Canis lupus familiaris: one gene and its partners. The protein of the gene in region 1 purifies or fractionates together with the protein of each later gene. This does not show direct contact. Links are inferred from orthologs where the notes say so. Each region holds a gene or a part of one and is shown in the gene's direction. Other genes may lie near its edges.

What was found.
Region 2: the proteins of U2AF2 (region 1) and SRSF1 purify together in Homo sapiens (affinity purification with mass spectrometry; 4 studies listed by BioGRID and IntAct, counting the BioPlex papers as one, with this or other methods). This does not show direct contact. The link is inferred for Canis lupus familiaris from reciprocal best matches to the Homo sapiens genes U2AF2 and SRSF1.
Region 3: the proteins of U2AF2 (region 1) and TRA2B purify together in Homo sapiens (affinity purification with mass spectrometry; 4 studies listed by BioGRID and IntAct, counting the BioPlex papers as one, with this or other methods). This does not show direct contact. The link is inferred for Canis lupus familiaris from reciprocal best matches to the Homo sapiens genes U2AF2 and TRA2B.
Region 4: the proteins of U2AF2 (region 1) and HNRNPF fractionate together in Homo sapiens (co-fractionation; 3 studies listed by BioGRID, with this or other methods). This does not show direct contact. The link is inferred for Canis lupus familiaris from reciprocal best matches to the Homo sapiens genes U2AF2 and HNRNPF.
Region 5: the proteins of U2AF2 (region 1) and SF3A2 purify together in Homo sapiens (affinity purification with mass spectrometry; 3 studies listed by BioGRID and IntAct, with this or other methods). This does not show direct contact. The link is inferred for Canis lupus familiaris from reciprocal best matches to the Homo sapiens genes U2AF2 and SF3A2.
Region 6: the proteins of U2AF2 (region 1) and NCBP1 purify together in Homo sapiens (affinity purification with mass spectrometry; 3 studies listed by BioGRID and IntAct, with this or other methods). This does not show direct contact. The link is inferred for Canis lupus familiaris from reciprocal best matches to the Homo sapiens genes U2AF2 and NCBP1.
Region 7: the proteins of U2AF2 (region 1) and U2SURP purify together in Homo sapiens (affinity purification with mass spectrometry; 3 studies listed by BioGRID and IntAct, counting the BioPlex papers as one, with this or other methods). This does not show direct contact. The link is inferred for Canis lupus familiaris from reciprocal best matches to the Homo sapiens genes U2AF2 and U2SURP.

The regions. Positions count from the first base shown.
Region 1 is NC_049222.1:102,850,845-102,854,344, reverse strand, and holds part of U2AF2 (splicing factor U2AF 65 kDa subunit), read left to right. Parts: intron 1-242; coding exon 243-378; intron 379-1,110; coding exon 1,111-1,155; intron 1,156-1,445; coding exon 1,446-1,549; intron 1,550-1,844; coding exon 1,845-1,996; intron 1,997-3,315; coding exon 3,316-3,432; intron 3,433-3,500. UniProt on the Homo sapiens protein: Plays a role in pre-mRNA splicing and 3'-end processing. By recruiting PRPF19 and the PRP19C/Prp19 complex/NTC/Nineteen complex to the RNA polymerase II C-terminal domain (CTD), and thereby pre-mRNA, may couple transcription to splicing.
Region 2 is NC_049230.1:32,652,926-32,657,085, reverse strand, and holds the start of SRSF1 (serine/arginine-rich splicing factor 1), read left to right. Parts: upstream 1-1,360; 5' UTR 1,361-1,508; coding exon 1,509-1,702; exon of another isoform or gene 1,703-2,109; coding exon 2,110-2,294; intron 2,295-2,668; coding exon 2,669-2,841; intron 2,842-3,040; coding exon 3,041-3,235; 3' UTR 3,236-4,160. UniProt on the Homo sapiens protein: Plays a role in preventing exon skipping, ensuring the accuracy of splicing and regulating alternative splicing.
Region 3 is NC_049255.1:18,824,673-18,828,652, reverse strand, and holds the start of TRA2B (transformer-2 protein homolog beta), read left to right. Parts: upstream 1-1,180; 5' UTR 1,181-1,439; coding exon 1,440-1,475; intron 1,476-3,980. UniProt on the Homo sapiens protein: Sequence-specific RNA-binding protein which participates in the control of pre-mRNA splicing. Can either activate or suppress exon inclusion. Acts additively with RBMX to promote exon 7 inclusion of the survival motor neuron SMN2.
Region 4 is NC_049249.1:3,803,346-3,807,484, forward strand, and holds the start of HNRNPF (heterogeneous nuclear ribonucleoprotein F), read left to right. Parts: upstream 1-1,339; 5' UTR 1,340-1,427; intron 1,428-1,741; exon of another isoform or gene 1,742-1,747; 5' UTR 1,748-1,812; intron 1,813-2,351; exon of another isoform or gene 2,352-2,496; intron 2,497-4,139.
Region 5 is NC_049241.1:57,264,475-57,267,974, reverse strand, and holds part of SF3A2 (splicing factor 3A subunit 2), read left to right. Parts: intron 1-1,774; exon of another isoform or gene 1,775-1,910; intron 1,911-2,193; 5' UTR 2,194-2,232; coding exon 2,233-2,358; intron 2,359-3,500. UniProt on the Homo sapiens protein: Component of the 17S U2 SnRNP complex of the spliceosome, a large ribonucleoprotein complex that removes introns from transcribed pre-mRNAs.
Region 6 is NC_049232.1:55,304,732-55,307,635, forward strand, and holds part of NCBP1 (nuclear cap-binding protein subunit 1), read left to right. Parts: intron 1-22; coding exon 23-137; intron 138-2,904. UniProt on the Homo sapiens protein: Component of the cap-binding complex (CBC), which binds cotranscriptionally to the 5'-cap of pre-mRNAs and is involved in various processes such as pre-mRNA splicing, translation regulation, nonsense-mediated mRNA decay, RNA-mediated gene silencing (RNAi) by microRNAs (miRNAs) and mRNA export.
Region 7 is NC_049244.1:39,151,482-39,154,981, forward strand, and holds part of U2SURP (U2 snRNP-associated SURP motif-containing protein), read left to right. Parts: intron 1-352; coding exon 353-447; intron 448-531; coding exon 532-567; intron 568-657; coding exon 658-740; intron 741-1,708; coding exon 1,709-1,874; intron 1,875-2,281; coding exon 2,282-2,493; intron 2,494-3,424; coding exon 3,425-3,468; intron 3,469-3,500.

The DNA.
Region 1 (3,500 bases):
ATCTTACACCCCGTGGGCATTTCCAGGCTCTGTCCCCTCAGGTAACCAGCTCCTGTCCCCTGGGACCCCCAGGGCTCCTGGACTGGCTTGTGGACCCAGGAAGCCTGCTATATTCCCTCCTCCACTGAATCCCTTCCCCTTGGGGGGTGGGTTCCCTGGGGCTCGGGGCATAGCCACCAGTGAGTGGGTGGGCTGGGCCATGTCCTCCCTCAGCTCATTCTCCTCCCCCTCCCCTGGCCCAGAACGGGACAAGGAGAACCGGCACCGCAAGCGTAGCCACAGCCGCTCGCGAAGCCGGGACCGCAAGCGCCGGAGCCGGAGCCGTGATCGGCGCAACCGGGACCAGCGGAGTGCCTCCAGGGACAGGCGGCGACGAAGGTACCAGGGCTTGGGGACCCCTGGCTGGGAATGGAGTGTCCTTGCACCCAGACACTGGTGTGCTTCGGCCTCTTGAGTTCTCTGTGTGTGTGTGTCTAGGTGTCTGTTACTTGTCTGTCTTGCATATGGGCTTTTTTTTTTTTTTTTTTTTTTTTTTTTTTTTATACTCTGTTTCTAGAGTCTTCAGTTTCTGGTGGGTTGGTGGGGGCATTGGGTTCTTTATCATGGAGGTGAGTCTGGATTCAGGGTGCTGACTCTTCTGTGTTGTGTTCACGAGGCCTGGCTCAGTCCCTGCCTCCTAGGACCCGTTTCTTTTTCCCATTATTATTCTGTGTTTTTCTGGGATTGTATTCTGGGGTCTATACTCTGCCTCCTGGGAAGAGGGGTTCTCAAAGTGGGGCAGCCTCTGTGAACCCAGCTGCCATCTGCTTTGCTAATGCTTCTTCCCTCCCTAGCCTCCCCTCTGTTTTCTTTCCCCTTAAGCGAGGAAGGGTAGGGTAGGTGGAAGTTCTGCCTTCTTACATTTCAGTTTCTCCAAGTAGAAAGTGATCTGTGTGGCCTTTCATCCCTTCCACAGTTCCTCTTTCCTGGGTTGGGGGTTTGGGGGGGATGGCAGGGCCAAGGGGGCCTGCCCCCAGCCCTGGGGCTCTGTGCCCTTGGGGAGGTGTGGCGTGTGGGGAAAACGAGGGTCCCCAGTCACCCTTCCCCATACCTTTCCCTCCCATCCCTCAGCAAACCTTTGACCAGAGGCGCTAAAGAGGAGCACGGTGGATTGATGTGAGCTGCTCTTCCTGCCCCTTCCACCCTGATGTCCACTCCCTCTGCCCCTGCCCTCGTGTACCCTGCCCTGTCCTTGTCCAGCCCTGGCCCAAGCACTGGGGAAGAGGTTCCACTTGCCTTGAAACCAGCACCCTTCCCGAGGCCTGGGTACAGCCCTGACCAGATCCTCTCCCTCCTGGAGAGCACTGCACTCCTAGTGGGTAGCTGAGGGGAGCCTGGGGTGCTCACAGGCCCACCTTTGGTCAGACTGAGGTCGTCCTGCCCGGCTCTCCCTTCCCCCTTCCCAGTCGTTCCCCCCGCCATGAGAAGAAGAAGAAGGTCCGTAAATATTGGGATGTCCCCCCGCCTGGCTTCGAGCACATCACCCCCATGCAGTACAAGGCCATGCAAGGTAGGTTTCAGCTGTCGCCTCCTTGGTGGAGAACATGCTAGGTGGTTGAGGGAGCAGATCCTGAGCTGGGGGGCAGGGGGGATAAGGTTTGTGTCCCGGGCTTTCTGGATTTTGCCTTTTTGACCACTGCAGAAGAGGTGCTGTGAGGTTCCCATGGGGAGCTGAGCCTGTGTGGGCTGGTCCACAGGGAGCTGCCTCCTCCCCTATCCAGGCTCTCCCACCAGTGTGCTGGGGGTGGGATGTGTGTGTAGAGGATTGCCAGGTTGCCATCTAATCCTGCTCTTCCTTCTCCAAGCGGCGGGTCAGATTCCAGCCACCGCCCTCCTTCCCACCATGACCCCTGATGGCCTGGCTGTGACCCCGACGCCGGTGCCCGTGGTCGGGAGCCAGATGACCAGACAGGCCCGGCGCCTCTACGTGGGGAACATCCCCTTTGGCATCACTGAGGTACTGCCTACCCCCTGCCTTTTCCCTGCCCTCTCCCCAGTTCCCTCCCATTCCTCCCCTCTCCCCCTCCCCTCCCCCAACCTGCACGGGTCAGACTCTGCCTCCTGCAAGGCCCCCCGGCCCCCTCCCCGACGGACCGATGGAGTTGAGCCAGCCAGGGGCCGGGCTGGGGGTGGCCCTCTCCCTCCCTCCTCTTCCCCTCTCCCGTCTCCCCTTTCCCAACCTCCTCCAGCAACCCAGGGATCAAGGCACACACAACGAACCTACGAAAATCCATGAGTCCAGTCCGTATCGAGAGAGACAGAGAGGGAGACTCGCACGCGCGCGCGCACGCACACTGACACACGCACACACGCACACACGCACACACGCACAGACGCACGCTCCCCTCAGTTGTCTCTGACACACCTCTGGTTCTCTGCCGCCTGTTCCCATCCTCTCCCCACGTCCCTCCCGTGGTCGCTGCTCTTTTGTTTTGATGGCCCTGACCTCCCCAACCTTCCCCACCACTCCTCTCCCCTCCCTCCCCCCCACCCCTTCCCGTGGCACCCCGAGAATCCCGAGATCAAAGAGTTGTTTCCATTTCTCTTTAAAGTGAAATATTGTGGGGCTGAGATCCCTCGTAGCAACAAAAAGTTTGCTACCGTCGTCGAAGGCAAGTAAGGTCCATTCTGACTTTCTCAACCTGCACTTTGCTACGTTTGATAAAGCAGCCCCCGGACTCCAGGGCCAGATCCCGCCACATCACTCTTTTCTCCCCCTCCCACCCTTCCTCCCTCCCTCCGCCCTCTGCCCTCCTTGTCCCTTGGCTCCTCTTCCTCTCCCAACTCCTTTTCTTCTCTGGACTTGTCTTCCTCTCTGATTCTTCTCCCTTGTCTTTCCTGCTTTCCTGCTGTGCCTTCTTCCTGTCCTCACGGGATGTGCTCTCTCTCTCTCTCTCTCTCTCTCACCTTCCACCTCCCTGTTTTCTATTTTATGCTTTTTCTTCTTTTCCTGTCATTGCCATTTCTATGCGTTTTTCTTGAATGACGTGTCTCTGGTTGGGGCCCCTGCGGTCCTCCCCACACTCCTGGCCCCTGGCTGTCTTTTGCTGCTGCCTCCTACTCCTCCTTGCTTTCTCTAATCTTCTCCTGTCTCTGTCCCTGCTGATCTCTCTGCCCCCACCCCTGTTCCACTGCTCCCTCCCTTTCTCCTTCCACCCTCCCTTTCCCTTTCCCTCCCCTCCCCCCCAAACCCCTCTGTGTCTCCCTCTCTCACCCTCCCCTCCTCTCTCCACCTCCCTCCCCCCGCCCCCCCCCTGTCTCCTATTCCCTCTGCAGGAGGCCATGATGGATTTCTTCAACGCCCAGATGCGCCTTGGGGGTCTGACCCAGGCTCCTGGCAACCCCGTCTTGGCTGTGCAGATTAACCAGGACAAGAACTTTGCTTTCTTGGAGGTGAGCGGGTTGCATTGTGGGGTCAGAAGGTGTGTGTTCTTTCTCTGCAGCAGCCTTGATCTGCCCAG
Region 2 (4,160 bases), on another chromosome or scaffold:
CTTTCCTATGACTTCTGGGATGACTGGAGTCAAATTTGCAGTCCATCTTTAGTAACTGGGCAGGCAATTACCTCAGGCATTTTGTATAGTATCCTTATCCATGACTTCATCTTAAATTCCTCCCCTCTTATTTTCCTATTCCCCCTGAGTTCTTGGTACAGTTTTAATAATGTTCTAGGTTACCTCTGTAAACTGCTTCACATCCTTGGGGACCATTGCAAACAAATACATACTATGAAGAAAATCCTCCGTAAACTCAGAGTGCAGATGTTTTAGCATATTTATGACGGCAGGGTTTTCTTAAAAGTTGAATTCATTACAAATATTTTAAAATCCCAACATTTTACATAAAAATCCAGATTTCAGATATCTCTGAAAAAAATGTTAACAGGTTCTTATTTCCCTGGGCCGCCATGCAAGTGGGATCAGTTCTGAGCAGCAACTGTGGTCTCCAGGGGTCACAGTTCTAACACATCCCCCCAGCTCGTTTAAATATTACCTGAGAGGCTCGGGAATGAGGTCAGAAAGAGGAACAAACTCCAGGATTCTGCCAACACACGCGCGCTTTTTCTTGTTTTTTTTTTTTTGAAAGAGTTGGATACGTAACAGGCACAATTCACTCTTCAACCTTTCAATGGACCTCACCTCTGCGCTAGGCCCAGTGATGGGCGATTAAAGAGAAGCTGAGGTCTCAGTCCTAGTTGACTGGTCAGGGCTCGGCCACCGCCACTAGGTCAAGGCGTGTTGAGCTGAGCTATACAAAGTCAAGTTCTGAGCCGGCGGTGGAACCGGGTCTAAGCTGGGTTGCCCTAAATGAGACACTTGTCTGAGCAGCCCACCGCCTGAGACCAGAGGGGGCAGGAAAACAAAATCACTACTCAGCTCGGGACTGAAGCACCAACAGCGGAGCTCCGGGACCAGCCTCCCTCTACGAGGATGTTCCCGTTTCCGGAGCAACCGCCAGGTCCCTCCCCCCTTAGCTCCGCCCCCAGCAGTCTTTCCCGCCAAAGGCCGTTAACGCCGCAGAGCATCGTGGGACAAGGCTCCAGGCTAGGTTTCACCCAATGCTTTTAAGGCGCGGACTTGTTTTAAAAGAGACTCATTCCTGAGAAAACGGACTATCCTTTAAGATTCGTCAGGGATTAGTAGCTCCGTGGACGAGGGATCTCTGTTTAATTTTTACCAAAGGGCCGGTCACGTCATTTGCGAGCCACTCCACAAATCCAGAACGCGAGGAACTTTTTTCTCCCTTCGCGCGGAGGGTGACGTCGCGCATGCGTGAGCGTACCGCTCGCAGCACCCGTTACGCTCTTGCGCGTGCGTACTGAGGCCGAATAGCAGCTTCCTCCCGCTTCTCTTCCTCCCTCCCCCCATATCCGTGCGCCGAGCTGATAAAGGCGCCATTTTGGAGGGGCCGCGGGAGACGTGGTGTCGCTGCGGGCTCGCTCTGCCGTGCGCTAGGCTTGGTGGGAAGGCCTGTTCTCGAGTCCGCGCTTTTCGTCGCCGCCATGTCGGGAGGTGGTGTGATTCGTGGCCCGGCAGGGAACAACGACTGCCGCATCTATGTGGGTAACTTACCTCCAGACATCCGAACCAAGGACATTGAGGACGTGTTCTACAAATACGGAGCTATCCGCGACATCGATCTCAAGAATCGCCGCGGAGGACCGCCCTTCGCCTTCGTTGAGTTCGAGGACCCTCGGTGAGGCGGCCTGGGCCTCGCCGCCTGGAGGCAATAAGTTGGAGTAGTTGGGGAAAGGCCTTGTTACCGAGAATGGGGAGGTGGGCTTTTAGGTTGGGGGTAAGACTGTGTCGCCCATGCAGGAGTCGAGTAAGAGCCGAGTCGATGTGGTTTCTCTGGTGGCTGGGCCCACGGACGTCCCCAGAGTGGACTCTCCGTCTCGGAGCGGGAAACTGAGGCGCCGAGGGCTGGTGTAGTGGTCGGGAGCCTGGCGTGCTTCTGGGTGGGGGAGGGGCCATTCCTATTATGCAGCGCATGTGGGCTCTTCCTCGCTGGGTGCGCATGTGCGGGGGCCGCTAGTTCCCGACTGAGTTAGCTGCCCCTCCCGGGCCTTACTCTTACACCTCTTGCTTTCTCTGATCACGCAGAGACGCGGAAGACGCGGTGTACGGTCGCGACGGCTATGATTACGATGGATACCGTCTGCGGGTGGAGTTTCCTCGAAGCGGCCGTGGTACAGGCCGAGGCGGCGGCGGGGGTGGAGGTGGCGGGGCTCCCCGAGGCCGCTATGGGCCCCCATCCAGGCGTTCTGAAAACAGAGTGGTTGTCTCCGGTGAGTTTTCTGTTGGTGAGGGTTGTTGAGGAGGGACAGGAGCCACTTTTAAGTGTTCCCTTGCGTGAGTGGTTTTGACAAATGCCTGTTTTTGTGGTAGGTCTTAAATTTAGTTTCTCGGGTGAGTTTAGTAAAGGATAACCGTAGTGGAGGTGTACCAGTGTGCTAGTTACCTACCATTAGGTCGGATGCCTGGACGATGAAGATCCTTACTTTACAGAGAATTTGGGACTTTGGATTCCAGAATCTTAATTAATGGCTCTCTTACCTACGATCTTGAATCTGATTAATTTTAAAGTGGTTTTCGTTCTAGTATAGATTTTAAGTGTAGTGTGAAATTTAGGGTGATTGGTATTGAAAAAATACTTTTTTAGGACTGCCTCCAAGTGGAAGCTGGCAGGATTTGAAGGATCACATGCGTGAAGCAGGTGATGTATGTTATGCTGATGTTTACCGAGATGGCACTGGTGTCGTGGAGTTTGTACGGAAAGAAGATATGACCTATGCAGTTCGAAAACTGGATAACACTAAGTTTAGATCTCATGAGGTAGGTTTTACACTTACTCTTTTCTTTGGCCAGAATTGGATACAGTGGTCTTAACAGTGGAATTTGAAGGTAAGATTCAGGCAAGGGTGTCCAAGTAAAATACCAGATTTCTGGTTTTAGTTACATTGTATTCGTTCAGCATGCCTGAAGACAGGTGAAAGCTTAGATCTTTCAATCGAAAGTTCTGTCTATTCAATAGGGAGAAACTGCCTACATCCGGGTTAAAGTTGATGGGCCCAGAAGTCCAAGTTATGGAAGATCTCGATCTCGAAGCCGTAGTCGTAGCAGAAGCCGTAGCAGAAGCAACAGCAGGAGTCGCAGTTACTCCCCAAGGAGAAGCAGAGGATCACCACGCTATTCTCCCCGTCATAGCAGATCTCGCTCTCGTACATAAGATGATTGGTGACACTTTTTGTAGAACCCATGTTGTATACAGTTTTCCTTTACTCAGTACAATCTTTTCATTTTTTAATTCAAACTGTTTTGTTCAGAATGGGCTAAAGTGTTGAATTGCATTCTTGTGTAATATCCCCTTGCTCCTAACATCTACATTCCCCTCATGTCTGATAAATTGTATTTTAAGTGATGTCATAGACAGGATTGTTGAAATTTAGTTAATTCTCCATGCTCTTCAGACTGTGATATTGTGTAAATGTCTATTCTGCTCTGGTTTGTGTGAACTGGGATGTTGGGGGTGTTTGTGGTTATCTTACCTGGGGAAGTTCTTATGTTTATCTTGCTTTTCATGTGTCTTTCTGTAGACATATCTGAAGAGATGGATTAAGAATGCTTTGGATTAAGGATTGTGGAGCACATTTCAATCATTTTAGGATTGTCAAAAGGAGGATTGAGGAGGATCAGATCAATAATGGAGGCAATGGTATGACTCCAAGTGCTATTGTCACAGATGAAATTGGCAGTATTGACCTTATACTAAAAGGCAAGGGATAAAAGTGATTATATATATATATATATATATACATCTACCTTAAAACACTTGCAAACATCTTGTGCAGTTATCTTTAGCTACAATTGCTTTGCTCTTTAAACCTTGGCAATTGTGGCAAAATTACATTGCCCATTTTGTAACAATTATTTTGCTCCCTTCCCCCCTTTTTTGTTTTAATAGGGACTAATGTGGGAAGAACTGGCTAATTTGTCACAGTGCTTAGTTACAACTGTTAATGTGTGACCTGCTGTTGGTGTACATGTGGGTACAGGGTGTCTTTAATTCCAACCAGATAGAGTATAATATCAATACTGCTAAATCTGCATGTCCTCTGTGTGACTGATATAGCGTTGCTATTTCATTTTTTTAA
Region 3 (3,980 bases), on another chromosome or scaffold:
TCACTTTACTTTTTAAAGATGTATTTATTTGAGAGAGAGCGAGCACGGGGCAGGAGGGGGGAGGTGTGGAGTAAAGAGCAGAGCGAGAGGGAGAAGCAGACTCCCACTGAGCAGGGAGCCCCATGCTGGGCTGGATCCCAGGACCCTGGGATCATGGCCTGAGCCAAAGGCAGATGCTTAACACTGAGCCAGTCAGATGTCCCTAAATTAGTCACTTTAAATGGGAGCATGGCATGGTATGTAATCATCTTAATAAAGCTGCTTAAAAAAATCAAATGGTCCTTTACAGGTACCAAAAGTACCAAACCAGCCAGGTTATCATACTTCCTTTTTAATGGGTGATGGGTACATAGGATAAGGTCTGGATAGTACTGTGTTTATAAAAAAAAAAAAAAAAAAAGTATAAGTGAACAAGAGCAGTTGAAACCGAGGCTGTTCAAGAACTGTCTATCACGCCATTGGGTAAGAGAAGAGCAGCCCGGGTGGCCCAGCGGTTTAGCGCCATCTTCAACCCAGGACCTGATCCTGGAGACCCGGGTCGAGTCCCACGTCGGGCTCCCTATACGGAGCCCGCCTCTCCCTCTGCCTGTCCCTCTCTAACAAATAAATAAAATCTTAAAAAAAAAATTAATCTTCCCTCCAGTGACATCATTGCAGTAGGCACTTCTGGCGCTTAAAATCATAGTTTACACCCGTGTTTAACGGTTCTTCCTTTCTGGACCACTAACTTCTTTCAGAATAGAGATTGTGTCTGATGTCAGCACCTGGAGATCTGAGAGTGCTTCACCATTTAATAGGTGCTCAAATGAAGGTTTTTTTCAGGAAGGATGCATCCACAACTGAAGCTAAATAAGTGCAAGGCGGTAAACCATGGGTCGCAGTAGAAGGACATGGGGTCTCTCCAACCAAAAGGCGGCACAAAAACTAATAAGCACAAGAAAGGAATCAAGGATGGGAAAAAAGGGCATCTCCTCCTTCCCACCGCCGCGACGCTTTCCCTGGAAAGTTCCAGAAGAGATGAGGGCGTGGCCGGTGACATCACCACGCCCCTCGGCGACCACCAACCGCAGGCGCAGGCCGTCCAGCACGCTTACTTTCCCGCCTCGCTGAGACCCAGAGATGGTGGGTGGGGCTGGGCGGGCTGCGAGGCTTACGTCACGTCCGGTTCCGGACGCGCCGCCGCTAGAAAGGGAAGACCGAGCGCCGAGGGGCGGGGCCAAGAAAGCGCGCGTTCTGAAAGGGGAGGAGCCGGCTTAAGGAGCGCCGCGTCACGTCCGGCAGACTTAGAGCCCGTGCGGAGGCGGTGCGGAGCGCTTCGGTACTCGGCGGCTCGGGAGCCCGTGCGTTCTGTGAGGCTGCGGCGGAGCCTCTATACAGAAGGCGCCAGAGGTTGGCAGCTTCGATTGAAGCCCGTCGAGCGGCGACAGCAGCTAGGAGTCATGAGCGACAGCGGCGAGCAGAACTACGGCGAGCGGGTACGTAGAGGTGGTGCAGGGGGCGGCCGTGTGGTTCCAGCTTGCATCTCTTCCCAGGCCCGTCGGCCTCGGCTCCGGAGACGGGCGATTTAGACTCCGAAGTCTGAGTCTTGGAAGCACAGGAGTGGGGTTTTAAAAGCCCTTGCGAATAGTGTCGTTAGTCACGAAGTAGGCCACTGGCGGGTTTGTGTGGCCCGCAAGTCGAGACGGCGGTTTTTTTCCGTTAGAAGAGGGGAGAAAGATTAAAAATGGCCGCTGCGTCCCCTTGGTGTTGGGGGAGGGGAGCGGTATCTCATTTCGCCGTTGCTCTCCTGCGAAGCCTCGCTGCCGCCATCTTGGGCCGGCTGGCCGGGCGCGCTGCCAGAGGCACAAAATGGCGGAGCAGCCGCGCGTCAAGGCGGGCCCGCGCCTCACAGACCGAGCGGGGGGAGGAAGGCAGCGTTCTCTGGGAGGGTTGGCCCATCGTTTAGCTTTAGAATCGTTTTGTGGACCCCGAAAAGACGGAGTCTGGGGTGTTCTTGGGGCTTTTTTACGTCGGGGAAACTAATCCGAGGTAGACAAGTTCTGGGCCCGTTAGAGGGGGTTTCGCGCGGGCTTTTTGTCTGGCCTAAAGGGAGTGCTTTTTTCCGATATCGAAAGTGTTTTCTTTCAAAGGAAAAAATCGTTATCGGTATCCGATGGACGACACCCTGAGGCTACAGAGGTTTTCTTGTTTTATGGAGCAGATATTTATTTTCTAGGGGACTGTGTAGAAGAAACTGACGGGCAACCATGTATGGCGCCGTTATTTCCTTTGTTTTGAGGCATTCTACTTCTGTGAGCCACAGCTTATGTTGGTACACTTTGACTTTGCCTCCACTTAACCCAAATGTTGAGTTCGGTAGTGGTTTGATTAGATTGCGGGAATAAGACCGCTTCCGGGCTTAAAAAGCGTGTAGTAAATAAAGCGTGGTTGCAGGCCTTGGGTATTCATGAAGATGCAAAAATACACAAAGCTTGTCAATCTCGGGCATTCGGAGGATATGGAGAATTTCTTCGAGTGAGATTAATGAAAAGCACCAGAGAACATGATTTTTTTTTAACTTGGTAAGGATAAAGAAGTTGGGTGCTTTGACAGTTGACTTAAGTTTTGCCTTCTAGTGCCATCCTAAGATCTCAATAGCGGTCGTCAGGTAAATCTATTCAAATACACTAGCAAACTTCTATGAAACCGATTTGGGGCCCTTCATTAAGAGGGCATTTTTTAAAAACTTCCTGTCTTAGGCCCTGAAACTTTGTAAAATTTACTGTGTAATTTTGGAACCAAATCTGATTTAACTTGAGTAATGAGGCTTCACCTATTCAGAGAATACTGGCTTTTTACATTTTCCTTTAAGACGGTTGGTTGCACCAACATCAGTGCCTGTACGAGTATTTTTAAGCTCTTGCTGTCCACCGTAAGAAAGTTTGGACCCAACCTACAAATTGTTAAGCAGTGATTGCTGATTCTACCAGTTGACTATATACCGTTGAATCTAGTCATCGGTGTTTGGAACGGGGGAAGCAAATGATAACTTTTAAGTCTTCGGTTTTCTTAAACAATTACTGAGTACTTTTTTGCGCTGCGAAGAGAATACAAAATGGCCGGTTTCTGAGAAGCGCTCTTAGTTGAATATACCTGAATAAGTTACTTGGAATGGTGTGCTTGTGAAAACGAACATTGCCCCAAAATAAATTGTCGTATTTTACATAAGGGAGGAAATTGCTGAAGGTAGGTTCCTGGCTTGAAACAGCTCTGGGTTGCCATCCTAATAATTTGACATTTTTTGATTTTTTTTTTCTGGTTAAAAATATAAATCCTTGTTTTTTCCACAACTTTGTTTACATAGGTTAGGTATTCGCTAAATTCTTATAAAGGAAAGTTACATGTTAGAAATTGATTTTTTTTTCCTTACATAAGTTTTGAGTCCTGGAAGCATTTCTAAACTTCGTAGTTTTATTTGGCATTTTGTTTTGTATGTAGATTGCTTTCCAATTGGTGTATTGGAAGCCGAAGAGATTAGAATAGACCGTAAAAAAGGTTGTGATTCCTAAAGAACTCTGGCAAAACCCTAAAGCTTAATGGAACAGATTAGATATGATGCCATAAACAAGACTTAAGTGTTTGTAACAGGTCTGATTGGCTAAAAACATCCTTTGAACTGAAAGCCGTGAAAAAGTTGGATTCAGGGTAATAATCTTGGACATACCTGTTAATAGCGTCTCTGGAGCCTGAAAAATTGTAGTAAATCCACTCTAGACCCTTAAACCTATCAAACTTGATGTAAATCATTAGTAAAAGCCTGATTGGTACCATTAATGTAATCACGTGTAATACAAATCTCCTTGGTTTGGCTGGAATTCCACCCAACCCTCCCTTAATTTAGCAGTCCAGAATTGAGACGTCGCTGTTCCTGAAGCCCCAGCATAGTTCCGGAAGTATTTTTTCCCCATTTCTTTAAACTTTAGAAGTTCACTTCCTAAATA
Region 4 (4,139 bases), on another chromosome or scaffold:
GATTACTCCCAAGACCAGAGAGAGGCTCATAATCAGGCCAAGGCTCTAATCTTTCTTTCAGGGAGGCTCTCAAAGATTATTGCATTGTTGGGCAGCCCGGGTGGCTCAGCGGTTTAGCACCGTCTTCAGCTCAGGGCCTGATCCTGGAGACCCAGGATGGAGCCCCACGTGGGGCTCCCTGCCTGGAGCCTGCTTCTCCCTCTGCCTGTGCCTCTGTCTGTCTCTCTCTCTCATTAATAAATAAGTAAAATTTAAAAAAAAGGATTATTGCATTGTTGATCAATAATGAACAGGGAGCCCCTCGAAGGGATCAAAGAGCCCGTGTAGCTTGAGTCTCTCTTAACGGACTATATAAACATATCTTCTTGGACCTGGCTTCACAGTCCCTTAATTCTGAAGCACTATTTTTTGTTACCGTTTTAATATTTGCCTCAGATTGGCTGCTTGCATTCTCTCTCCAGAACCACTTTTCTACAGTCTGCTATGATGAAGTCATTGTGGAGTTTTGTGGGAACACCTACCTGATTTTTGTAGGACTCATTTTCAGTAATTTTGCTTTAATTTTCTCCTTGTACATTTTCACCCCCTCTAACAGCTCTTCCTTTCACTTTTCCCATTTTTCTTTCCTAGAATCAGCTTTTGACAAACTGCTTTTTACTGTCATCCGCTCATAATCTGCCACTGCTCCAAACATTCCCTTAATTTAACCAGTGATTTTAAAATAATCTGTTCTGTGAAACCTGTGATGAATGCCTTGATCTCATCCTCTTTATAAAGAGTCTCCAAAAATTAAAATGGTGATAATTACTAACTCCAGAACACATCAAGAAGTCTCCACTGCTCTCAGGCTGGGAAGCCATTTCCACCCAGCCTTTAGTTTCAGGTGTTCCCTTGGGTCTTCTGGGTCACCTTCAGAGACCGGGGACTCCTCAGCCCAAGTAATCAACATGTGAGCAACCTCAGTGAACATGTTACTCCTTCCCTAAATTCTGCAATCGGAGCCGCCTTTATCCGTCTCGCTGTTTTCGGTTCCCTATTTTCTCCTTGGCAGGAAATTACTCTTTTTTTTCTCTCACGCTGATCTTCAATACCGGAGTCCTTGAGGTCCCGGTTTAGGGGGGGAACTCTCCCAGTCAGCATCTCCCGGAGCTCAACGCTGCCGCGGTCAGACCCTCCCCCGCCCTGAGAAAGGGCTGGCGCGAGGCAGCGGCTCTCCTCTCCACAGCGTCCCCTTCCGCAGGCCCCGGCCCTGCCCCGCGCCCCGCAGACCAATCCCTGGCTCCGCCCCGGGAGCGGCACAATGGCGCCCTCGCGGCCCCGCCCCTGGACGCACGCCGCGGAGGCCCCGCCCCGCCCCGCCGCGCTCCTCGCGTCCTTCCGGCTCCGTGGTGGAAGTAGCCCTTCGCCGCGTCTTCCTGGAGAAGAAGGTGGGGTTCCGCGGGGAAAGCGGCCGGCGGTCACGCCAGCAGCCGGAAGTGGGGTGGGGGCGCGGGCTCTCCGGGCAGCGGCCCTCGGGTGCTGGGGTGCGGCCGAGCGGGGACTGGGCGAGCCCGGAGCAAGCGGGCTGCGGGAAACGCCGCGTGCGCCCGACGGGCGGGAGTTGTGCGCCGGGGCCGGCCGCGCGCCAGGCCCCGCCCCTCGGGGCCCCGCCCAGGGCGCGCTGCCAGGGGTTTCCATGGTGATGGTAAACAAGCCTCAACTGCCTCAGCTACAACTGCCAAGTTCCCCGCGTTCCACCCTCCTCTAGGTGCTCAGAGGGACGATCGAGGTGCCGGATGTGAAGAGCGGGAGCGTGGAGACCCGGAGCCCGAGGTGAGGGGCGGGACGGGCGGCGGGTCGGAGGCTGAGGGCCGCACCACTGGGACGGACCGAGAACCGGGCCCTCTGGGCTGGGGGCGGCGGGGCTGGGATACGGATTTGGGGGAGGCTAGGTCTGAAGTCAGGGGCCTCACCCACGGGGACCGAATGGGCATTGGGCACGCAGGGGCTGAGGGTTGGGGTCGGGAGAGGCAGGGGCTGAGGTCAGGGACTGGGCCCCCTGGGGCTGAGAATTGGGGTCACGGAAGGTGGGGTCAGAAGTCCACGGCCGTAGAGTCGGGGACTGGACCCCTGGACTGAGATCGCGGGTGCGGGGAGGCAGGCCTGAGATCAAGAGCCATCCCCTCGGGGACTGGACCGCTGGGCTGGGATTCAGGGCCGCGGGAGGCAGGGAGGGAGGAAAGGCCTGGTGCGGCCTCCGGGGTTAGCAGAGCTTGAGCGCCCTGCCAGAAATAGCGCGAGGGCACCTGACGACCGTGGGAGAGGGGCTTCATTTAAAAATGAAAGCAGTACTTTCACGTGGTTGAGTTGCACCAGACTGGTTGGCAACTGACTCCTCCCCCCTCCCACGTTCCCGCTCGCTGAGCCTCCACTTTCGGTCTTTGAGGCCTTTTCTTCCTCTCGGTGTGGCGTGTGAGTGCCGAGCGCCGGTCTCCGTTTTGTCTCCTGCTTTTAGAGGTATTGTGTCTGGTTTTTGGGTAGAAACTCTTTGGTTCTCGTTATCTCTGCCGGGTGACCACACTTACGCGGAGCGAGCTTAATCGGCCGTTTCTTTTTCCCTTGCCCTTTATTTCTTTGTATCCTTGAATGTATTTTTTGCTGGTTCTTGACTGCGCCTAAGAAACTTCTGGACTCTGCCGGCGCTTGCGCTGCGCCCTCTACCTTCGGTGTGCCCGCGTGGGTCCCTGAAAGTGGCGCCGGGCGGCCTGGTGACGCCGGCAGAGTCCGGGGACTCGCCCGACCCCGTCTTTTATAGACCGGGTTAGGAGGCCACAGGCCCCTCCCTGTTGGTCTGTTCCCTTCAGGAGCTCTCAGGTTCTCGCCGGACAAATCCCCAGACCCCGGAGAGCCCCTTCCCCAGCTCCAGCAGGAACCCCCTCCCCCGCCGCCCCGCGTCCCTCGGGCCGGGCCCGCCGGCCGGACTCTCCTCGCAGTAGTTCCCTTCCCCCGAGGCCTCAGGACGCAGGAACGTGCTTCCTTTAGCTCTCACAGCTACCTGGGGGTGTCCGGGCTCCTGTCTGCCCCGCGGCCGCGTGCGTGGCGGGAGCGGGGTCCGCGAGCTACGGCTCGCTGAGTGGGGGGAACCGCCCGCCGGGAAGGGGGCCCCCGAGGTGCCCAAGGTTAACGCCGCGCCTCAGGTCTCCGGAAGTTGGTGGCGCTGGAAGAGCTCTGAACACTTCAGATACTCTTTCAGTTCAAAACGTGGTCGAAATTCCCTATCTTAAATGTAATTCTATTACTTACAGTCATTTTTTTAAAGGTTAACGGTTTCTGAATTTCTAGTAAGAATGAAAATACTTCGGGTTCTCCGGTTAGACAAAAAAATGCGTTGGGGTATGTCAGTGAAAAGTGATGTTTTCAGTGTTAATTTCTAGTCAAGATTCTTCATTTTGAAGTGAGTAAATTTCTACTTATGAAGTTTGGGAGAGGTTGCTGATGTTACTAATTACTGGTCTTTAAGCAAGCCCATCTTTAGTCATCTCTTGTGCCTGTATGCATTTCTGTAATTTGATTAGATTTATTACATACTAGGTCTTTTTTATTTTAGGTTTTAAAATAATTTTTTAAAAAGATTTTATTTATTCATGAGAGGCAGAGACACAGGCAGAGGGAGAAGCAGGCTCCTCACGGGGAGACCGGGGGAGACCGATGTGGGACTTGATCCTGGGTCCTTGGATCACGCCCTGAGCCGAAGGCAGAGACCCTCAACCGCTGAGCCCCCCTAGGCGTCCCTAGTTTTTAAAATTTTAACATTGTTTTTGTGGTATTTTTTTGGCAATTTTTAAATTTTATTACTTTTTAAATTTTTATTCTTGAGAGACATAGACAGAGGGAGAAGCAGGCTCCACACAGGGAGCCCCATATGGGACTCGATCCCGGAACTCCAGGATCACGCCCTGAGCCAAAGGCAGACGCTCAACTGCTGAGCCAGCCAGGTGTCCCTGTAATTTAAAAAAAAAAATTAGCAGGTGACTGGTTTTCATTTAAAAGTCTTGCTACAGGGCAGCCCGGGTGGCTCAGCGATTTAGCGCCGCCTTTAGCCCAGGGTATGATCCTGGAGACCTGGAACCAAGTCCCACGTTGGGCTCCCTGCACGGAAC
Region 5 (3,500 bases), on another chromosome or scaffold:
CCAGTTTTCATTGTTCAGGTGAACGCCCTCCTGTAACAGCCTTGAGAAGCTGGGTGTTGTTCTCCACGGAGCCCTGGAAGTCCCTGTGGACCTGTGGGAAAGAGACCTCCCAGGCCCCGATCCCCACTGCCAGTGGAGGCGAGAGGGCCGGTCCCTCCACGCTCACAGGCATCCCTCTCATCGCTTCACCCAGAAACCTTGAGTCTCCCTCAGGGGCAGTCAGGTGCTTCGCCAGCAGGTGGGGCAGTGCTGGCCTCCCGTGAGGTCTGTCTGCAGGGACCACAGAGCTTTGGGCAGACCGTGGCTGCAGGCCCCCGTGGCTGTTGGGGTGCAGTGTTCCCTGGTCTCACTGAGCGTGGCACAGAGGGCTCTCCTGGTGTCATAGTCTCCTTTTTTTTACAGTGAAACGTTTGTTTCACAGCGTGATTGCCATAGTTGATGGTGCTTATTTTTCATGCTTTGCCTGACAAAACTTAAAAGTGGGCAGCTCTGGGTGGGCTCGTATAATGAAAAGTCTGACCCTGTGATGTGTATAATCCCCTGATTTGTCAGCCTTCAGGATGGTCGTGTTGCTGGTTCCCAGGTGTGAGGTCTTCATATGCTCATTAAGGGAAGAAGAACCAAGCGAGGGAGAGGTCTGGATCCGATAGCATTAGGGGCCGACCCGAGTCACGCTGCAGGCCATACCCGATGTGCTACTTTCCTATGGCCCCTGTAGCAAATCCACAGAGTTGGTGTTTTTTTTTTTTTGTTTTTGTTTTTAAGATTTTTAGTTATTTATTCACGAGAGACACAGAGAGAGAGAAAGAGACAGAGACACAGGCAGAGGGAGAAGCAGGCTCCATGCAGGGAGCACCATGCAGGACTCGATCCCAGGACCCCGGGATCAGGCCCTGGGCCGAAGGCGGCTGCGCTAGACCGCTGAGCCACCCAGGCTGCCCTGAGTTAGTGGTTTAAACGACAGGTCTATTGCTGAGCAGTTCTGGAGGTCTGAAGTGGGGGGGGGGGGTGCCTGGGTGGCTCAGTCATCAAGGGTTGAATTCTTGACTTCGGCTCAGGTCGTGACCTCAGAGTTGCGTGATTGAGCCCTGCCTCAGGCCCTGCACTGAGTGCGGAGTCTGCTTGAGATTCTTTACGCCCTACCACCCCTTTGCTTCTCTATTCTCTTCTGTTCTTTTAAAATAAGTAAATAAATCCTGAAGTTGTTTTTCTTAAAGTGTAAAGGCAGGGAGACCTGCTCCTGCCTTTTCCCACTTCCAGAGGTGCCACCTCCCTGGCCCACAGCCTTTCCTCTGTCCTCACCACCAGCAGCGTGGGGTCTGCCCGTCTGTAGGGCTTCCATCCTCTGCCTCCCTCTCAGGAGGATCCCGGGGTCACCCCCACCTCAGGGACCTGGACTTGCCCGCCCCTGCAAGGTCCTTTTTGCTATTTATGGTTCCAAATCCTCAGGTTTCAGAGATTAGAATGGAGACATCTTTGTGGGGTCATATTCACTCCTGAGCCCCATTCCATGAACTCAGCTCTGCAGGGACAAGACACCGTGGGTTTACGCCAGGGGCCTGGGGCTGATCTTACCCAAGTCAAGAGAGAACGTGTTTGGAGGGCAGAGGGAGGTGCCTGGAGGTTGGATCTGAGCCGAGCCTGAAAGAACTTGGGAAGCGTGGTGGCAGGGAGTGGAACCAGGCTATTTAGGACTCAGGAGAGTCCTGCTTGGGCACAAGTAGGTCTTGGATTTCTTGTGCATTGGGCAGAAGAAGTAGGTAGGTAGCATCTTCCTTGCCTTCAGCAGATTTACAGCCGAGCCACAGAAGTAGAATTTAGTTTGGGGAAAGTAAACATAGACAAGTGGAAATAATTCAGAGGCGAGGACACCGAACACTTGGGCAGTCCACGAAGGCTTCCTGAAGGCGGTGAGACTTGCTAGAGAACTTGGCCACCTCTTCCCTGTTGCCATTTTGGGTCTCAAGCTTTTATACTCCTCGGACTGCAGTGGCTTCCTCTTCAGTCCCCCGGCGCCGTCATTCATAGACACCCCACCTGTCCTTGTTCGCTCTTACTCCAGTTAGTGTGTGCTCGGCTCACCCGGGCCCTCAGACTACTGCAGGGAAGAGGAGGCTGGGAAGGGGGTCTTCACTTGCCCCAGCAGCAGCTGCCGAGTCCTGCGCTCTCACAGCCTCCCCTTTGGCCCTGCAGGTCTCTCTGCCAGTCTGGTAAAGCCCCAAGGCCCTCACCATGGACTTCCAGCATCGCCCTGGGGGTAAGACCGGGAGTGGAGGCGTGGCCTCCTCCTCGGAGAGCAATCGAGACCGCAGGGAGCGCCTCCGGCAGCTGGCCCTGGAGACCATCGACATCAACAAGGTTGGTGAAACCAGGGGCAGGCGGGTGGGCAGGCGGCCTCCCCACCCACGTTACCCCCTCTCCCTGCACCTGGTGCCCTTGGCCCTGCTCTCAGCTTTGGAGTCCTGGTCCGTAATTGAGAGCCCTTGACCTAGAGCAGCTCCTCCTGTCCACCCCAGAGCCCACCTGCTGTTCAAAGGGTCTTTTTATTGCTTGAAGTTTTTGGTTTTGTTTGATTTACCGGAGATGTGGAGAACTGTCAGTGGTGAGGGTCATGATAGCGTCGCGTGACTTGATGATCTAGCTGTAAACGTCAGAGGGCGGTGTTTTACTTAGGTGTACAGAGCTCTTGGTGGACCAGGGTCTCCCCACCAGCACTGCGGACATTTAGGGCCAGGTTGTTTGCCAGATTGTTTTGGGCACTTCTGGCAGCTGGGCAGCGTCCCTGGCTCCCACCCACTCAGTGCCCAGGAGCACCCTAGTTGTGACAACCACAGGCCCAGACACCACCCAGTGTCCCTTAGGGGCAGTGTCACACTGGCTGTGACCCTAAGGGTCAGAGTATGGTTTCCCTTAGACTTTGAACCTCTGTGAGATGTGTTGAGCCCTCACCATGTGCCAGGCACCCCCAAAGCTCCCAGCGTCACCTCTGAGGTCAGTTGTGTTACCATCCTCATGAGGAAAGAAGGGAGGACCACCACTGCCAAAGATGACAGGGCCCCCGGGCAGAGGAGGTAGGGTTTGAGCCCCAACTGGTGTGCTCTGTGCCTCAGGTCAGAGTGCTTGTGGAAAGTCAGCCGTCTGGCCGAGGAGGCCCTGCACGCCGAGACAAGCGTCTCTATGGGCCTTTGTTTTAACCCATTTGCTTTTGTTCTTCCTGTGTCTGGCCTGTGCGGTGGTGCTTGGAATCCCAGGGGGGTTAGCCACCTGTCCCTGTCCTGACCCGGGAGGTGGACGCCCCACAGTGCCCTCGTGACTCTGCTTCCCTCTGGACCCAGTACTGCCACAGAGGTGGGGCCGGGGGCCAGCATTGGTGGCCCCCAGCCCTGCCAGGTGGCCTGTATCTGCGGGGGCCCAGGTGGTCCCACAGTGCTGCCTCAGAAGGCCCTGCGGGGGCCCAGGCCACAGGCTGCTCCTAGTTGTTTGTCCTCGGAACACCTGCC
Region 6 (2,904 bases), on another chromosome or scaffold:
CTAAATGTTATGTTACTTTAAGATTGTTTGTTTGGGAAATTTTGCACTCCACAATTCGTAAGATGAACAAACACGTTCTCAAAATCCAGAAAGAGCTAGAAGAAGCTAAAGAAAAACTTGCAAGGCAACACAAACGGGTAAGTCTTCTGCTGGTTTGCAAATGGTCAAAGAAAAGATGCCAGAAACTCTTAAAAAATTCAAAGTTCATTACCTTGATGGGAACTTTTTTTGTTTTGTTTTTTGTTGGGTTTTTTTGAGGCCAAATTATGCAGACTATTGTAGAAGTAGAGGGAGAGGAAGGACCTGGGGGTGTGTTGCTCCCTGCTGTTCTCCTGTGTGATAAACCTGGAAGGAAGCCACAAACCTTGCTTTTCCATACTTCTCTTTGAATCCACTTCATGTTTGCCCTTCCCAAAAGGGAAGGCAGAGAAGGAAAGAGGACACTTGTATTTCTCTAAGAGTTTCTGGTGCAAGAGGAGACAGGGAGACTGTGCACCACTTCCCCAGCACTGTGGAAACCTTCCCTGGTTTATGGAATACTTCTCATATTAAGAAGTATGGTTAGCCATTTTGGGGGGAAGCAATGAACTATGTTCCATGATTTTGCATAATAGTACTACTAGTGTTTATGATAGTATTTTCCAGTGATGTGCATATTTACCAGAGTAGGTGGAGACAAATGTAATGACTTACCTGAACCTACAGCAGGTTCAAGTGCTAGTCTCCACATACATTCATATATGTGTATGTATGATATATAAACATACATTCACAAACTTAAAACACTGCGAGGTAAATGATATCATCCCCATTTAGTAGATATCCAAATTGAGGCTCAGAGAACTTAAATAACTTGTTCAAGCTTACATGGTTAATAAGTGACAGAGGTTGGGATCTGATCCAAGCCTGTCAAATTCCAGGGACTTCCCTTCATGCCACACCATTCTCTAGATATGTGGTGTCCAACACAGTACCTGCTACCACATCTAACTAGAAGTTAAAAATCAAATACAATTTAAAATTCAGTTTTTTAGTCATATGAACCCCATTTCAAATGCTCAACAGTCATGTATGGCTAGTGGCTACTGTGTTGGGCAGCACAGATTTATGTAACGTTTCCCTCATCACAGGAAGGTCTACAGGCAACAGTACTATAGAACCTAGCCTTAGTGTGGTATAGGAAAAAGACCACCATCTACCCAATTGCCTACAAGATAAGGCAGGTGCTACGTTAGAGATAAAAGAATTTTGTAAAAACGGGGAGGTTCTGATAACTTTGTCTAAAGGGTAGAAGGCAACCATCCCAGAAGGAGTATTGCCAACAGTGTTATCTAGGAGGAAGTGGGTTTTCCAGGTCTGGTGACGCTTACTTTCTTACTCAGAGGACCAAAGGACTTTAGTATGTAACATACCTGGAGTCAGGTTCTAGCTCAGCTGCTTACTAGCTTTATGACACTGAGAAGGTCATCTAACAACTAAATTAAAAAGACAACACCTAAGTGAATGCTCTAAGTTCTTCAGGGTGAGCTGGAAGGGAATTGTTAAAGCTTAATAGAGTTGTATTGAGCCCATCATTGCCAGCGGAAGCTTGAACGGTCTGCTTTGAGTTATATGTAGTCGGAGCTATTTCTAAATTATTGCAAGGATGAGCAGGTTCTCAAGCTGTATGCCATTCTGCCCAGCTTTTCTATATGGCCCGTTAGATGAAAAACTGGCACACTGCCTCTCTCTTGTTACTGTTGAGGCCATATGGCTATGTATTAGTGACTCAGTTGTTTTGCTGGCCATCTACTTTGTTGAATGAGCAGTAGCAGAGTTATAGGAATATACTGCCTGTCCTCATTATTTGCGGGTGCTGATTTTGCAAACTCACTAAACTTTGTGACCTCAAAAATCTATATTCGCAGTGCTTTCCCCGTCATTCAGACATAGGCAGAGCAGTGAAAATTTTGAGTTGCCCAGTGAGCTTGTTCCCAGATAAGGTTGAACAAGGCAATACTCTGCCTTGTTTCAGTTCTCATACTATTTAAAAAAAAAAAAAAAAAAAAAAGGATCCTTTTCAAGGTGTATTTAGTGCCACATTTGAGCTTTTGTCGGTGACTTCACTGTTGAAAATGGCCCTGAAGCATAGGGCTGAAATGCTGTCCAGTAGTGCAGGAAGGCTGTGAGGTCTCTGACAGTAAAAATACGTGGATTACATGAGCTTCGTTTGGTGATGAATAACTGTGCTGTTGGCCATGAGTTCAGTGTTCACAAATTTAACAATAGGATAGATACATTCAGAAAAAGGAAATTCACCAATTGTACCTAGGCTGTTCCATCAAGTTCTAAAAAAACATCTGTAATGCTGTGGTAAAAGCAGCTCAGTTTGTGGATTCATAAGACAATGACTGATTTTTTTTTTTTTTTTTTTTTTTTTTTTTTGACAATGACTGATTTAAAAAAAAGTGGACAGCCAAAGAAGTTGACAGTCACATTACTCGGGGTCAGGAAAATGTTAAATCTTTCTCAAGCAGTTTAAGTATAAAGAAACATTGTATATAATTGTAAAACATATATTAAATAAGCTATCTTCAAACAGAAACACACATAAGGTTACGTATGGATCAGTTGACAAAAATAAGCCAAAAGGCTCCCAAGAACCTAACCCTGGATTTCCCTAAGCAGTGGCTCAGGGTTCCCAGCAAATGCATAAACAGAACTATGGTGAATAACAAGAATCTGCTACACACTTTGCATGGAGCTCAAAGCTGTATTCATTTTGAATGGAAGAAAATGTGACACACACTTCCTCCCTGAATGGGCTACCTTGTAAAAGTTGTAACTCATCATCCAGGACAGGTGCCACTAAGGATGGCCTAGCTACGTGCCTGCAGGCCTTTTGGGTGTATGCGTGTGCCGTCG
Region 7 (3,500 bases), on another chromosome or scaffold:
TTATCTAATGTCCGGAGTCCTGTTTGCAGTGGAAACAATGTAGTCACTGAGGTAGGGGTGAGGAGTGAGCAAACTTAACCAAGAAAGGACAGATTCAGTGGTTTTAATGTTGAATTTGCTCCTCACCTTAGAAGTGGGTTTTGTATTCTAATGCTTGCATGACATATCAGAAATTTGCTCATGACTAATAGCTGAGGGACTTTCTTTCTAATCTCGGTTGTTAGTGCTGGCATTTAATTACTTACAAATATTTCAAGTTATATGAACATGGTACCTGGATAACTTATATTCTTAATAACTGTGAATGAACAACTTTTGGCTCATTATTAGTGATAACAAATGTTTTCAACAGAATTCAGGAAGAGCGTGATGAGAGACATAAGACAAAAGGCAGGTTAAGCCGATTTGAGCCTCCTCAGTCAGATTCTGATGGTCAGCGTCGTTCTAGTAAGTGGCATTTATTTTAATGTTTATATTTGTGATTAACTATTCTAAAAAACTAAGAACTGTTTTCTTTTCCTTCCTTTAAAGTGGATGCGCCTTCCAGAAGAAATAGATCATCTGGTGGTAATACAGTTTTTTGCTTTTTTAATTAATAGAAATTGTCCAAATTTTGTAGTTTGCAGGTTATAATTCTTTTCCCCCTCTTTGTCCTAGTTCTTGATGATTATGCACCTGGCTCACATGATGTAGGAGATCCAAGCACTACTAATTTATATCTTGGAAACATTAATCCACAGGTAATATTAGAAAAGTTAGATGAACATTGGCTCATATTTTTTATAATTATGGAAGAAAACTGCCTTGTCAATGAAAAAATAAAATCAAGCACCTGAAGTAAGCAGACTTGATGGAACTTCAGAAACTATAGAAGTCTCTAAAATTATCTTATAAAATTGAGGCTTGTTGATATGGCTGAACTGTCTTGCCACAGTGCTTATCTCGTCTTTCTCTGACTAGACTGTCTGAATTTGAAATGTCTTACTGTGTACTGATTTTTTTTTATTTATCAAATCATGATCTGTGGTGGACAGTGCTCTTTTGAGACTACCTTATGCATAGCTTGCTTCCTTAATGATATCCTTTTTCTTTTTTCTTTTCACGATAGCAAACTAGTAATTTGTGCTTCTTCTTAATTCTTTTCCTCACTTCAGCGTTACTTGTGTTATGAAGAATGTAGTGGTAGTTATCCATAATATGCTCTTTTAAATTATGTATGTTTTGGACCTCATTGTGTATTTACTCTTTTCTCTCTTCTTGATAATGTTGGGTATTGGAAAAAGAGAAAGTGATCAGATCTTTTTTTTTGCTTTCATTACCAACATATATTTTTTACTTGTCTTAAATGTGATAATCACTGTTGCCTGATAAACGTTGCTAAATGCAAAAACAAACCAGTGCCGAAGAACAGCTTATTTTAAATATGCAAGATCTCAAAAGGAACAGGAGGAGAGCTAGATAGAGGTGTACTTTTGATTTATTTAGCCACCAAGCCTCCTCACCCTGAACACTTGTGTTTCTGGTATGAAAAGATTTGTGAATGTCACCTGAGGGCAAGATTTTACTGTATAGAGGTCCTGGTGCTTCAGTGGAAAATTGTAGCATTGATATGTCTCACTGTTCATTTTGTAAACATTTGCTTGCTTTTGGATAGAATTTCCCCCTTTTATTTGCATACCAAAAAAACCCCTCATATGCTTTTTAATAGATGAATGAAGAAATGCTTTGTCAAGAATTTGGAAGATTTGGACCCTTAGCCAGTGTGAAAATTATGTGGCCTAGAACTGATGAAGAAAGAGCAAGAGAGAGAAATTGTGGCTTTGTGGCTTTTATGAATAGAAGAGATGCTGAAAGAGCTTTAAAAAATTTAAATGGTAAGAAAGTTTTTATTGTCTACTATAGAATTCACTTTTTTTCCTGGCTCTGAAAAGTATTTATAAAAACTCGGGGTGGGGGGGGGCAGCCTTGGGGGCTCAGCAGTTTAGCGCCACCTTCAGCCCAGGATGTGATTCTGGAGACGCGGGATCTAGTCCCATGTCGGGCTCCCTGCATGGAGCCTACTTCTCCCTCTGCCTCTCTCTCTCTCTCTCTCTCTCTCTCTCTCTCTCTCTGTGTGTCTCTCATGAATGAATAAATAAAATCTTTAAAACAAACAAACAAAACACCTCTAGGGGGAAAATGGACCAGAACTGGAAAGGTTAAACATGAAAAATAATTCAAATTAACAGAAATTTTTTCTTTTGAGAGTTAACCAGGGTGACCTTTCTTTTCTTTTTTGTAGGAAAGATGATTATGTCTTTTGAAATGAAGTTAGGTTGGGGTAAAGCTGTGCCTATTCCTCCACATCCAATATACATTCCGCCTTCTATGATGGAACATACACTTCCCCCACCTCCATCAGGACTGCCTTTTAATGCGCAGCCTAGAGAGAGGTTAAAAAACCCCAATGCTCCAATGTTACCGCCACCTAAAAACAAGGAGGATTTTGAGAAGGTAATTTAAAAAATGTACATAGGGCCGCATCTTAATTTGTAAATACTAAATCTGTGGTAGTCTTTCTTTTCAATAATTTTATAGAAAGTGTGTGTGTAATTCTGTTTGACAACTCTGAAAGAAATAAGTAGATGTGTTCCCTGCCTTAGCCCATGGAAACCCTATATTGAAATACTAGGTCATATTTTTATTTGTGGCTACCATTCCTTTTTTGACCACTTAAGTTTTTTTCCCTTTTGTCCACTGTTGTATCCAGGTTTGCTTAAGTGCAGTATCTAAATTTACTTTGTTCTGAGAAAGTGATATTTTGTATTTGGTTAAGTGACTTTTCAATTAGAAAAACCTAAATAGTTAAACTGTTTGGATGGCTGCTAGCTAACTTAGTTCTCAGGATCTGAGATGTTAGAGTATTTGAGAGCGTATGTGGTTTTTTAAAACAGTTAACTGCTCTAGTTAAAAGCAAAGGGTGAGTATTTTCTTTTTATTAAACATAAAACCAACTTAATTTCAAGTTTATAAGAATTTGTTGGTTCTATTATGAAATAATTACACTTAAAATGACAGGGCTGGTTTTAAAGGCTTGGGAACAAAGTAGCAAACTGTATGGTCAGAGGCAAACAGTTAATTATTTCACAAATTAAAATCTTTATCTGATAATTCTCGGTGTAGTACCTATTTCAGTGCATTGATGTGCATTCTGGCAGGAATGTTCTGATTCTTTGCATTTGGTGAACAGTTATTGTTCACTGAACACATCCATTTGCATTTATGTAATTGCTTAGTGTATAATTACTTCAAATGCAGTGATTGCCTGCAAAACTTTGTGATTAGATGTGTAGTGTTTTCAATGCATTATGTATATTTTTGCTTGTTACTTGTTAACAATACTCACATATTCTATGTTTATTATCTGATGTGACTTCATATACAGACTCTGTCGCAAGCCATAGTCAAAGTGGTTATCCCAACAGAAAGGTACATGTTTTTCTTTATTATTACTGATCTAA